3 linked regions of the Oryza sativa Japonica Group genome follow. The main gene of each other region encodes a partner of the protein of the gene in region 2 in a complex. Links are inferred from orthologs where the notes say so. Each region holds a gene or a part of one and is shown on either strand. Other genes may lie near its edges. The genes, in order: large ribosomal subunit protein uL29c, large ribosomal subunit protein bL9c and large ribosomal subunit protein uL4c.

The links.
Region 1: large ribosomal subunit protein bL9c (region 2) and large ribosomal subunit protein uL29c share a complex: the UniProt entries of both Arabidopsis thaliana proteins name them as parts of the 50S ribosomal subunit. The link is inferred for Oryza sativa Japonica Group from reciprocal best matches to the Arabidopsis thaliana genes RPL9 and AT5G65220.
Region 3: large ribosomal subunit protein bL9c (region 2) and large ribosomal subunit protein uL4c share a complex: the UniProt entries of both Arabidopsis thaliana proteins name them as parts of the 50S ribosomal subunit. The link is inferred for Oryza sativa Japonica Group from reciprocal best matches to the Arabidopsis thaliana genes RPL9 and RPL4.

Annotation. Positions count from the first base shown.
Region 1 is NC_089036.1:32,213,107-32,217,459, reverse strand, and holds large ribosomal subunit protein uL29c, read right to left. Parts: upstream 2,405-4,353; 5' UTR 2,374-2,404; coding exon 2,020-2,373; intron 1,079-2,019; coding exon 935-1,078; 3' UTR 659-934; downstream 1-658.
Region 2 is NC_089036.1:35,819,159-35,823,517, reverse strand, and holds large ribosomal subunit protein bL9c, read left to right. Parts: upstream 1-1,859; 5' UTR 1,860-1,878; coding exon 1,879-2,001; intron 2,002-2,668; coding exon 2,669-2,796; intron 2,797-3,146; coding exon 3,147-3,192; intron 3,193-3,461; coding exon 3,462-3,559; intron 3,560-3,643; coding exon 3,644-3,691; intron 3,692-3,793; coding exon 3,794-3,914; 3' UTR 3,915-3,980; intron 3,981-4,096; 3' UTR 4,097-4,334; downstream 4,335-4,359. Other genes in the region: 4-coumarate--CoA ligase-like 3, read right to left, coding at 1-543. UniProt on the Arabidopsis thaliana protein: Binds to the 23S rRNA.
Region 3 is NC_089037.1:8,802,659-8,806,925, reverse strand, and holds large ribosomal subunit protein uL4c, read right to left. Parts: upstream 3,130-4,267; 5' UTR 3,062-3,129; coding exon 2,128-3,061; intron 968-2,127; coding exon 930-967; 3' UTR 713-929; downstream 1-712. Other genes in the region: peroxisomal nicotinamide adenine dinucleotide carrier, read right to left, coding at 4,132-4,267. UniProt on the Arabidopsis thaliana protein: This protein binds directly and specifically to 23S rRNA. May play a role in plastid transcriptional regulation.

The sequences.
Region 1 (4,353 bases), about 3.6 Mb from region 2:
TGACTTGAGACTTTCAACAAAAGAATTGCATGGATGCTATTTCCACTTGTTGGCATTTATCTTCAAACAATCACCAACTCAGTACTCTGCTCACTAAACAATTAGCTAAAAAAAGAGGAAGACAATAGTTGACTAAAAGATTACCTTGTGAGTGAAGCCTCTCTACATCTCAAGTTAAGATCTGTTGAAGAGATCAGAATAACAAGTTTTGGCTGAAGGGCCAAGCCACCTGGGCTTGCTTATGAAACTGATGATGGATCTAGGATGGCTCCCTAGCTCTGTGCAGAGATACCTGCAGCATACTCTAAAGCTAGAGTAGAAGGGGAAAGCCCAACATGCTTTAGGACAGTCTAACAGAGCTAGTTTAAGCATAAATCAGTGTTGAACAATAACATAAATCTAGGTGACCGACACAACAAGCCACAAGAACGTGGGCTTGGAGACAGTTGTACAGTTTTGAAACGTTTGATAAAACAGTGAACTTGAGTTTGGAGCAAAGCAGGGCACCAAAATTCCAAGCGAACTATTATAGACATGGCCTAATTCTCTTGTTTTTGTTACTCCGTATTCCAGAGACACTTCTTTAGAACTCTGCATATCTGCCTCTTATAGTATGTACGTACCCACAACTTTGTGACAGGTGAATTTGAATAGGCAGTTTGAGTTTCAACAAGTGTATAGCATACACTCGTTAAGCACAGTTTCATATATCAGTAATATAAGTGCATATATGGACAACACATTTTGAATAAACTGAAATTTACACAAATGGAATTGGTAATAGAACTTTTGGTTTTGACAGCAAGGACTTGGAAATCAGTTAATGTGAATTACATATCAATCCATTATAAGGAATGAAACCACAGGGAGAAAGAAACCTTCCTTCAAGACATGCATGAAATGACTTCTACAGACTGTCTGCTTTTGTGGCTCTCTATTCCTCCTTGTTCTCCCTTAGAGATGGTGGTGGTCTAACCACGATGCTTTGCTTCCATTTCCTGTCAAGCTTCCTAGACAATCTCTTGTTGATTCCTTGTTCAATTTCCCGTTCTCTTTTGACAGTCAGCATACGAGCAATCTGATGCGAAGATGACAACCCAAGTCAATGCTAAATTTAGATAGTAGAAAGCTGCTATTGAAGCAAGATGAGCAGGGTGAGAAAAACAACAGGAAAAAAAAATCTGATATCCTCCTCCTAAAAGGCAAGAAGCATTGATCGAGGCAGATATAAGTATGCATTACTCTGCTGCTAACTATTTGTCCTGTGCTGTCCCTGAGCAGAGGTGGAGACCTGAACTCCAAAGCAAGTGATAATTCATAACAATTGACTTATCAGAAGCCCTCAAGAAGAACAAGGTATCACATAACTGACCGTAGAATTAGTTCTTGTGTACTATCTGCATTTTGACGTCCTCAGAACAAAGTTTTGTTCCATTTTAAATTTTGGTCCACTGAAGGTTAATTTAACACTACTTTCCCAAGAACAGTATAAAAGCTCTTCAGATACACATTGCATTGCAATATCATTCTTCATGTAGTACTCTATGCACTAAAATCCAATAAACAATACTACAAACCCAAAGTAGATACTATGTAAGAATACGTAAATGGATGTCAGCATGACTTTCTAATCAAATTAAGTAAAAAAAAATTGCTTCTGAGACTGAAATTGTCCAAGCATTAACCCAAATCATCTGTAAATTCAGTATGGGCCAATATGCAACTGATAAAAATCAGGCAAAATTCCACCAACAAATTGGTAAGTTATTCCACTATTCTGAACCTGAAATCAACTCAATATATCTGAACATAATCAACTCAGTACTAGAGGTTGAACAAAAGGGCCTTGTAAACAGAACACACTGAGCAGAACATGCGACCACTCCACACCCATTTGGAAGTAGAAGGTGGAATTTCCACTCGTAGGTTGAACGCATTTTGGCCAGGAGTAAATGCTAAACTTTCGCAATGGAATTAGCAGTTGTGGTATATCTGTACCCCATGGAGTAAGAGACATACCCTCTTGCGCATGCGGCCGAACTCGCTGGATTTGAACTCCTGGCGCGCGGAGCGCTTGAGGCGGAGCATGAAGAGCTCCCCCTTCAGGTCCACCACTTCCTCCTCGATCTTCTCCGTCGGCATGGCCCGAATCTCCTCCAGCTCCTGCTCCCTCTTCGCCATCCTGGCCACGGCCGCGTCGCCCCTCCCCGCTGGCAGCCGCGGCGGCGCCGCCGCCGCCGCCAGTCCCGGGAACGGCGCCAGCGACGCCCCTCCGGTCAGGAGGCCGAGGAAGGCCGTGCGGGGAGTGGAGACGGCGAGCCCACGGGGAGTCGAGGCGAGGGGGGACGCCGCGGCGAGGGACATCGTCGCCATCTTTTGCGCTGCGCTCGCGTCTGCGCTCTCTGCCGGTCGGGGTTCGTGGATAAGGGGGTTTATCTGGTCATGTTGATTAGCCACTCGGGGCACGAATCTTCAAGCATTATCGGACGGCTTTCACTTGCTTAATATGCATGTCACATCTCTAAATATCGAAATCTACGCGGATTCGCGTGCAAATAACCCCTCCACGTGGCGCTGCACGATTCCAGCTTTCGTCTCCCTCTCGCAGCCGTCAGATCACAGATCAACGGTGTGGAATAGCTGCGGTGGACCTCGTTGTAATATGTGAGGTTTTAGGGGTCTTTTTGAAAAAGTTATACCAAACCTGCAATGCCCTTCTCTCCGCCGGCGCCCCCGCCCCCGCTTCCTCCGCCTCATTCGTCGGAGGTCGACTTGTCCTCCTACGCCGATGTCGCCGCCTCTTCCTCCTCCCCGCGCTCCAGCTCCACCTCCGCCCCTCCGACGCCCTAGGCTGACCCTCCCACGCGCCAGCGCGCCGTTCTGTGCCGTCTTTCCCCTCAAGTTCGGCGGCGGTGGCATAGATCCACCTCGTCGCTGGATGGGGCGATGAGTTCGGTTGCCGTGCTTGGGGATGGGGAGGAGGAAATCACATGCATCGCTACGTCCGTCTTCGCTTCTGCCTTTTGATTCGCCGACCGCCTCTCTCCCCAAGTCGCGGCACCAAGGGGATCTCGGACGGAGGCCACTGGCCGTGCAACAAAGGGCGTGGCTGAGGACCGTGCTACCGCCGCCGGATGCCGTCATGCAGGAGCGGGAGCTCCCTCCCCTGCTTCCCTACGGGTTCACAGTTTCACACCACAGCTGATTAATTCCACCTGTAATTAAGAAAAAAGAAGGAATTTCTTTTGTTGTTTTCGTTGATTTTTGCGTGTTACACGATGCTACTGAATAATGCTCAGATTGGCACCAAGGAATGAATGAGTTGCCAAAAATTAACTGTCACATTGTAACATGTTTTGTCTTTGTCTGAAATCTGAAGAGTTGGCCTTTCTTGACTTACAGTACGAGGGTGGTGCAGCTGAGGGTAGCAGAAGACCAAGCATCTGGAACACCTTCACACATCAGCACCAAGGCATGTTAACTACATCTCTGTTCACCTTTGCCTGCTTAAGCTGTGCTCTGTACAGAATTATGTTAATCAAGTTCAATTAAGTGTATTTGTATATCTACAAGTATAAAATTTGTCCTATTTAGCAACCAGAAACACTTCAACGATGTAAAGCAGAAATTAACAAGCTGAATACACAATGACAGAAAGGTATGCAGAATCAAGAAGCATATGGATTGTGCATCAAGTCTGACTGTTGCACTCCTTTTTTGAGAGAGAGAGATTTGATCTTTCACTGTGAGCGTAAATGCGTAATGGTATATTAAGTCCTACTACCATTTTACTCTCTTTTTTTTTCATGTTGCTTTCTCTGTGAACACAGCAATATATCAAGTTATAACTGCTTTACTCAATTTGTTTTCTACGAGAAGTTCGTTCATTCACTGTGAGCATTAAGGCGTAAAAGATTGTGCATCTACATGATGAGCCGTATCAGGGGTGCATACAAATACAACGGCTATGTCGATATGACGTGCACTCTGTACCAGGACCGGATTTATTTTTTTCCCAAAATGGACGCAGGATTGCTCAGATGAATACGATGGATGAGGATGAGAATGATTGGGCTGTGGTTTTATCGAGTTGGTATGGCGGTATATGCTGACAGATAATTTCTATGAAATGATATGCAATTCATATGAAATTATTTTTTGTGCCTCAATATTGGCTTATATGGTTATATTTGTTGTAATCATATTGGCAGTCTACTTAACATTTTAGAGCATTTTAATGAACACAAGATATTAGAGTATTTTTAAAACGAAATTCCTGAGTTTAGGCCACTCTACTAAGAACACTAGACCAATCACTGTAACGGCGTGGCAAAGCCACGCAAAGTTTTCTAG
Region 2 (4,359 bases):
CGCCGCCGACGCCTCAGGAGAAGCCAACGCCGTCGGGTCACCGTCGTCCATGAGCTCCTCCGCGGAGAGCGCACGGGGATCCATTGATCGTGACGTGAGCAGCAGCGGCACGCCTGCTCCGGCGACCTTCTCGGCCACCTCCGGCGCCGCGACGACGACCACCGCGCCCGAGCTGCGCGCCACGGTGGCCACCTCCTCAGCCGTGGAGCCCGGGTCGGCGGCGACCACCACGCCACCGGCGGCCAGAACGCCAAGAACTATGGGCGGGAGCAGGAGCGAGTTGGGCGAGAGCACCAGAACGGCGTCGCCACGGCGGAGGCCGAGCCCGAACCGGAGCCCCGAGGCGAGGGAGAGCGCGGCACGGCGGAGGGCGACGAACGAGAGCGTCGTCGTTCGTCCGCCGCCGGCGCCGGCGACGTCGACGACGAAGGCGGCAGCGGCGGAGGCCGTGGTGTCGGGGTGGGGCAAGCGGGAGAGCACGAAGGACGCCGCGTCGCCGGCGGCGGCGGCGGCCGAGTACTCGGATTCCAAGATTTCCTCCATGGTATTGGTATCTCGATCTTTGGGTGTAACGATCGATGGAGAATTGGATTGGAGATGAAGCGAAGGTGGAAGAGGGTGTGAGGATTTTTAAAGTTTTGGCGCGCTAGCTAGCTTAGCTAGCTTCGTGGAGTCCGCTTGTTTGGTTTCTCCGATGGCGGGAAGGACGAAGTCATGGACGGCTGCATGACATGACGACGACGATGACATATACTCGATTATATACCCCTCTTCTCTTCGGTTTTCTCATCTCGTTGAGCAGTAGACATACTAATTCAATAAGATATATAATCGCCATTCTTTTTAAGAACGATTTGCTAGGTTTTTTTTTAATTTTTGTTCCTTTCGAGAAACAGGTCACCAGCTGGAGATCTTTGTCAGAAAAAGTACAACAAGATGATACTGGAGTATGATATACGAGGATGATATTTTGATGATACTCGTTGATAATTAAACAATGATACTTGATTATACTCTTTGATATTATTCATGAAGATACGGAGTATTTGCTAATACTCGTTCTTGCACATTGATACTTGATGATACTCGTTGATATTTGCTTATACTATTAATACACGTTTATACGTAATGGTAGCTAGTGATGTATCGTTGAGTTTCAAGATAGCACCAAAATAGTGTTATAATAATATATTTCTCGATTTATGTTATAACATGAATATTAGTGAAGGACCTAATATCAAATAATTAGAAGGGGTGAGGTTACGAATCCAGGTCATTTAGGCTATCACCTTGTGGAGCTAGCCGGAAGACCCCTGAGTGTTTCTCTTAATGTATGTTATAACATCTTGGCATCACATGTACTATCTATCTATCTTAGTAATATCGTCGAGGTATCACGTACATATATATCTCCTACCTTTCTCTATACGTTGAGTGGAAGGGGGTTACAATTTGGTGGATTATTATTACGACTTGTTTGGTATGAAACCATGCCAAAATATTGGCAATGCCAAATCTTGAGTAAATTTTGGTATTACTAAATTTTTGTTATTGTCTATTTGGCTTCACCTTATTGATTTAGCAAAATTTGACTCTAATTCAAATAGTTACGTGTTAACTATTCAAAGTTACCAAATAATTTATTTTTGACCTTTAAGTTATCAAAGAATTAGTAAGGCAAGAAGGAGCGCCAAACCAAAATGACCCTTAATCTTCAAGCCCATGACAACCCCGAAGAAAACCTTTGATACTGGGCCGATTTGAAAGGCCCAAAGCAGCGCAAAGCCCAAGAGAGAGGGCACCAAATCCGTTGGGGAAGTGGATAAGAGAGCAGCAGCCGCAGTTCCTTCCCTTCCCCCGCAATCCATCCCCAACGCCATGGCCTCCACGCTCGCCTGGAGCTCCGCCGCCTCCTCCTCCGCCCCCTCCTCCCGCCTCCCGCCGCGCCGCTCCCCGTCGCTGGTCGTCGTCGCCCAGGGCAAGGTCAAGAAGTATCGCCAGGTTTGGCTTCCACTTGTATTTTCTCTCCACAGTTGCAGCATGTATGTATGTATGTATTTAATTGCGATTCGTTCGAGCTAAGCAGTACTAGTACTGACTGATTGAACAAGCTGTTGCTGGTGATGCTTTTGTTTTGCCTCTTTTAGAACTAGCCATACCCAATGTACTGTCTGTCACCACCCTGTCCACTAATCAGTACAGTAGATTACAAAGCGCATGCGACTGCATTCCATCGATCGAAAAATTCGAAATGCAGCAGCTGTAAGCTTAAGATTACTGTGTGCATTCACACATCTGAGTATAGGAAAAGATACATTGCCATGGACGCATGCTCTGATGCAGTACATGGAAATGGAAGAAACTATCGTCATGTTTTTAATTAGGTGCCTCTTAGCATTGCAACTCAGATGCAAAAGTCATCTCTAATATGATTCTGTATATGCCCCGGAACGCCGGAATTGTTGGTTTGGCCATGCTGTTTGTTTGTAGGGAAAGTTGCAACTAAAAGGCATCTAGATACACCCAGTTCAAAATTTGCACCTGTAAACTGTAAAATGTTCCAAGCCTATGTCATCATCTTCCTTGTCTATTATGCATTTCTATACTTTAGCATGTAATGCACGATTCCGTATTTGATTTACTTCACTTGAGTTTCTTTTTCTCCCAGGTCATACTGACAGATGACATAGCAGAGGTGGGGAAGAAAGGGGACACGCTTAAAGTGAGGGCCGGGTTCTACCGCAACTTCCTTCTGCCAAAGGGCAAGGCAACGCTGCTCACCCCAGAAGTACTCAAGTAATCTTCTGTCTTACAGTCATTTACCACATCTCACGAATTGTATAGGCTATGTTTCAACCAACAGATAGGTGCTCCTAGTAAATTAATTGACGTATGCTTATGTTTCATCGTAGTTGGTTTTCACAGTATGCTGCAGGTGTAAATTTGCAGCTATTTATTCTGTTGTGTTAGCCATTGTATCTCTTGCCTCCTTGTGGAGCCCAGGATTGACATATAAATCTGCAAACTTTTATAGATGCCTATTCTGCATTTCTAGTTCAGTTCTTCTGGGGTGTTCAACATGTTCAATTAGTTCTTGTAAAAGGATGGCTAGTAAGCTACTTAATTTCCTCTGCTGCTGTCTACAGGGAAATGCAAGTAGAACAGGAGAGGATAGATGCTGAAAAGAAGCGGGTAAGTAAACCTATTATTCTATTTGTGGACTCAGTAAGAATTGATATAGTTGAAACTTATTCCTATTTGTTCCTGTCTGTCTAAAAACTACTGTGGTAGTTATACCCTACTAATCCTTGTTCTCCAGGGTACGTAGTTGTGGTTTAGCTTATTTTGTAAAAAGTCTAAAGCATGATTTGTTCCTACCAATATCATTTTCCATAAGAGTATAAGAACTTTCATCCAGTGTTAGCATAATCTTACCCTGTTGAGCATTTGTGCTTGAGTAGGTAAAAGAAGAGGCACAGCAACTTGCCCGTGTTTTTGAAACTATTGGGGCATTCAAAGTGCCACGTAAAGGTGGGAAAGGAAAACAGATATTTGGGAGGCAAGTTTTTATCGAGTAGATAGTTCTTTATGTATCGTCTTATTTTACTTGCACTTAATAACAAGTTTTTCTTCTATTCTACAGCGTCACAGCACAAGATCTTGTTGACATCATAAAGTCACAACTTAATAGGTATGCCCTTCTAAGTGCACTGACAATCACTACCTTTTAAGGAAGGATTGCGATGCTCTATTTGCTGCTGTTGCTTTGCTTACCGGAAACTATTTCATGTAGGGATGTCGACAAGCGTCTCGTGACAGTGCCAGAAATTCGTGAAATTGGGGAATACATTGCAGAGATTAAGCTTCACCCTGAAGTCACAGCTCAAGTAAGGCTGACCGTATATGCGAAATAAGCCCTGAAGCTGCTTGATTGAATCTTTAGTGGATGGTGGGCTTTGGATGAATTCTGATTTCACCAGGTAAGCTCATCTGCAAGGCATTCCATTGTTCCTTACCTTTTGCTCCGTTCTTAAGCTGTCATATACATTTCGTCAATTGTGTTAGCAGCTGAATTCATGCAATGATTTACTTGCAGAGATTTTTGCTGAAACTCCAAGGTGCAGTGTCACATCACGGGGCTTGGTCTTTACACATTGCCACTGTCCATCCTACCTGTAAAGTCAGTTTCTTGCACCTTTTTTTTTTTGACAAATTTATTTGTGTTAATGTTATGGGGTTAAATGGGCATGATGTAAACAACAAAGGGTTCAGAGTCTAGAGCAACTGATACTTGTCTTGTAATCTTGTTTAAAGGTGCACGTTCTTTATAGTCATATAGTTTGATAGAGCTACTACAAT
Region 3 (4,267 bases), on a different chromosome or scaffold from region 2:
TTGTCTGGGTGGACTTAAGGATGGCCCAACAACTCTTCTTGCATGACCCAGGTAAGAAAGAAAAATGATGGAATCATTATGGTTAGGCATAAGCAGAGGGTTGGTTCACTAAACCCTCAGGTGATCTACAAGTAAACCTGAGCAAAATGGTCTGTTGTTTACGACTGATCTGGGCTTAGAGTTTCAAGATCAGCATCTAACCCGGGCTATGCTGCTCCAGTGCTCCATGTCCAAGTTGAGCTAGGCTACTTTCCACATTGTAAAATGCAGCAAGTCCTCTGAAAAGACTTGTTAGTTGTTACTTGTTAGAGCTCACCCAGCGAAAAAGTTAGTCATAACAAGGAACAATTCAACAATTTAAGGAGACAAGATTTTGTAATCATACCCCTACTCAAGATGTTACTCTCTCCATTTTATATTATAAGTCGTTTTGACTTTTTTCGGAGTCAAACTTCTGTACGTTTGACTAAGTATATAGAAAAAAAATGGTAACATTTATAATACCAAACTAGTTTTATTAAATGTAACTTTGAATATATTTTTGATAACATGTTTGTTTTGTGTTAAAAATGTTATTATTTTTTCTATCATTTTGGTCAAAATTAAATAAGTTTGACTAGGAAAAAAAAGTCAAAATGATTTATAATATGAAACGGAGGGAGTAGAAAATTAGTGGTAACCAGCAGGTCAACACTGGTTTTTTGAAGCAAGATTGGGAAGCACTTTCTGTATAAAATTGGAAGAAAAATATGCAGTGGTTGACACGACATTGTATTTGAAAATATATGTGCAGTTTGAAGATCTAATATACTGCATCAGTGAAAAAAAAACATTATAAACTTACAACAAAAGTAAGCCAAAAAGCTTCTGCATCAGGGAAGCAATTACCAGACCAACAAACGAAAAACACGCGATCTACACCTCCTTCCCTAGGAATTGCTATCAGCCTCAGTCTCTGCAGCCTCATCTGAAAGTCATACAAAAAGAAGTTCCTGAGAAATGCTCAAAATAAGAGAAAGTTATAATATGCAGCACCAAAATGTAACAGAGAACTGAATGTCAATTAATAATAACTTAGTCCTGTAGCTATGCATAGTATTTACGAAAAGGAAGTGCTTGAGTGATGGAGAAAACATGTGTTTAACTAGGTTTTACCTCTAAAGCAACTTAAACCAGCATATTCACAGCTAACTACTTTATTAAGATGGTTCTAAGGTCTAACAGAACATCTTTGAAGTGAATGATGACAGTGCCAATGGCTGACAATGTTTCAAGTGATAGGTGATAGGGGTAGCTGTGTGGCACAGCAGATTGTGACACTATTATAAGGAGTGTACCAGTATCCCCAGAGTTCTGGTTCAGTGGTGTTCATGGATTCCATGCAGTCTCATTTCTTCTTATTTTTTAGTTTAGTGCTTAGGACTTAATCCACCTTCAGCCGAAAATTTAACCACCATTAGGTGAAGTCATTTTCTATTCGCAAATTGTTGAGTTGCTCATGAGCTCTGAATAAAAACCCTAAGGAGGTGCAAAATAACGAGTAAAATACAGACTCAGTGGGTCTACTGAGAGCTAGCATAGGGGTAGGTGGATCTCTAAGCATGCTTCTAAAATAGACCATTGAATTATGTCATGGACTTATTGGATCTTTCAGGAGGAAAAAAAACCATACGATGTACATTAGCATGGTAAGCATTTTTCCTTTTGCATGCTGGTAAGGATAAGAGAACTATTTCGAAAAAAAAATTAGCTCCATAAGTCTACAAGGCCACAAAGAATTTCTCCATAATAATTAAGATGGTATTCATAAGACAAAACTGGCTACATTTTCTGTTTCTTTGCCACGTTATCTTGTTTTTACCCTTAAAACGCATGTCAGGATCTTTATCAGCATACGTATAGCATCGATCATGATATTTACAACAGAGCATAGCTAAGAGTTAAAAGATAAAAAAAAAAACTACTGTACATGCCATTAAAGCAGAGCATTTTCTCTCCTAACTATCAACTAAAACATGTAAAATAAAGGATCACTGGATAGCATTAGTTACTCAAAGTCATTTCGCACATGCCCACCATAGAAACAATAAAAAGACACCTGGAAATTGTTCATGCATAGCTATGTACCTTGAGCAGCCTCCTCTGCGCTCCCTTCTCCTTCTTGCAACTCCTCTGCTTCCTCCTCACCATCATCCTCGCCATTGGTATCATCCTCATATTCATCAAAAACGGTGGCACCATACCTGGAGTTGAGATAGTTAATGGCGGCCGGGGTGAAGAAGAGCTTGCGGGCATCGAGGATGTCGTATAGGTTGAGAGTCCTGGGGGTTAGCATCTTGAGGGAGCCAATGTTCCTTCCGCTGAGCCGCACATTGTCTGCAAAATCCGTGGCGAAGAACATGGCCTTCTCCTTGGGGTCGAGCCCCCACCGCTGAAGCGCGGCCACGAAGTCCCTGGTCTTGGGACCCGCGGCGAACTCCTCGTCGAACTCCTCCACGACGAATGCATCGTCGGCCACGGCGGCACTGGCGAGCGCGGTGGAGATGGCGAGGCGCTTCTCCTTGCGGTTGATCTTGATGGACCAGTCGCGGGGCTTGGGCCCGAATATGACGCCGCCGCCGGGGCGGAGCGGCGTGCGCATCGACCCGCGCCGCGCCTTCCCCGTCTTCTTCTGCTGGTAGGGCTTCCTGCCGCCTCCCCTGACCTCGCCGCGGGTGAGCGTGGAGGCCGTGCCGCGGCGCTTGTTCTGGCGGTCGGTGATGATGGCGCGGTGCACGACGGCGCGCGCGGTGGAGGGCGGCGCCGACTTGAGGTCGAGGGCGACCTCCCCGACCTTCTCCCCGGTGAAGGAGAGAACCGGGAGGGTGGCCGCCTCGGCGCGAAGGGCGCGGAGGACGGAGATAGCCGCCTTCTGCTTGCCGGCGGCGACGGCGACGCGCGGGGAGGAGGAGGCGGCGGCGGCGGCGGATGGGAGGAAGGAGACCGAGGTGGGGGAGAGGAAGGGCGAGGAGGAAGAGGAGAGCGAGAGGAGGAGAGTCGAGGCCACGGAGGAGGCGGCCATTGCGGCGGCTTCGCTCGCTGCGGTGCGCTGCGTGGGCTGGACGACGGGGAGGCTTTGCCGCTGCAGCTGCGGAGCGGCCGCTTCTCTATCTCCTTATCCACCCCCACCCGACCGGACCGGCCACACTCTCGCGAGTGTCAGCTTAGTCGGTCGCGCCAGACCAGTAAGATACACACACTACTATGTGTTTGGATTTTAGAAGAAGCATCTCTTCATTAAAAAAACTTAGATATTGTTAAAGAAAAACCCTCGAGGCAGTATTAGTCTATTAGATGGTGTTTTTTTTCTAATAAAGATGAAATAAAATAGGAAAGCAAAATGAAAACGGCCCATTAGCTTATGTTTAATTAAGTTTTGATTATTTTAAACTTGAAATTGATTTATTTGATATTTTAAAATATTTTTATGTAAAAAATTCATATGAAACATACCATTTAGCAGTTTAAAAAATGTGTTAGGAAGAATTTGCATCTTAGTAAAGAAGGAGGCTTAGTTTCACCAAAATGAGTTTGAAATAATCAAATTAAATTTCATTTCCTTTTTGTCGGGTCAGATTGCTCATTAGCACTTGTGTATCAGAACAGTTGCCTGAGAACCACATTGACAGATGGGGCGCACCATAGACACAGTTATGCTAAAAATGGACAGGAACTCCAAATTTTCTACTTCTACTTTTGTTCTGAACACTTGCGAAGTTTTCACGATTGCGATCCTCTTCTCGGTTAGCTCTAACAAACAAGCTAAAGAAACTCAAGTAATCTGAACAGATGACTAGCGCTTGCGATTCTCATTGCCAACTTATTTTCTAGTGTTTCAATCTTCCATAACAGTATACTTTACACGAGCAACAGAGATAGCCTACCCAATATATACCATCATTATTGGTTCCTACAAGAATCACAGTGGTAATTGTACTACATCTTTAATCTCCTTTTTTTGGAGAGCCTACAGTCGATCAGAGTCTCACAGATAACTTGATATCTCCTAACAGGGGCGCTTGGCAACTCTGTCCATCGCTTTATGGAAACAATTGTGGTATAAGTAGGGAACTAACTCTTGTACAACCTAGATCATCTTAATGGCTTCGATGGTAACTTCTTAACAAGGCTGGTGTTGCCGGTTACCAATAATCGAGCGCCCTTCACCAGTTCCTCCTTAATCATAAAAAGGAGAGCAGAAGCAAAAACACTTTGTACGATTTTTGTG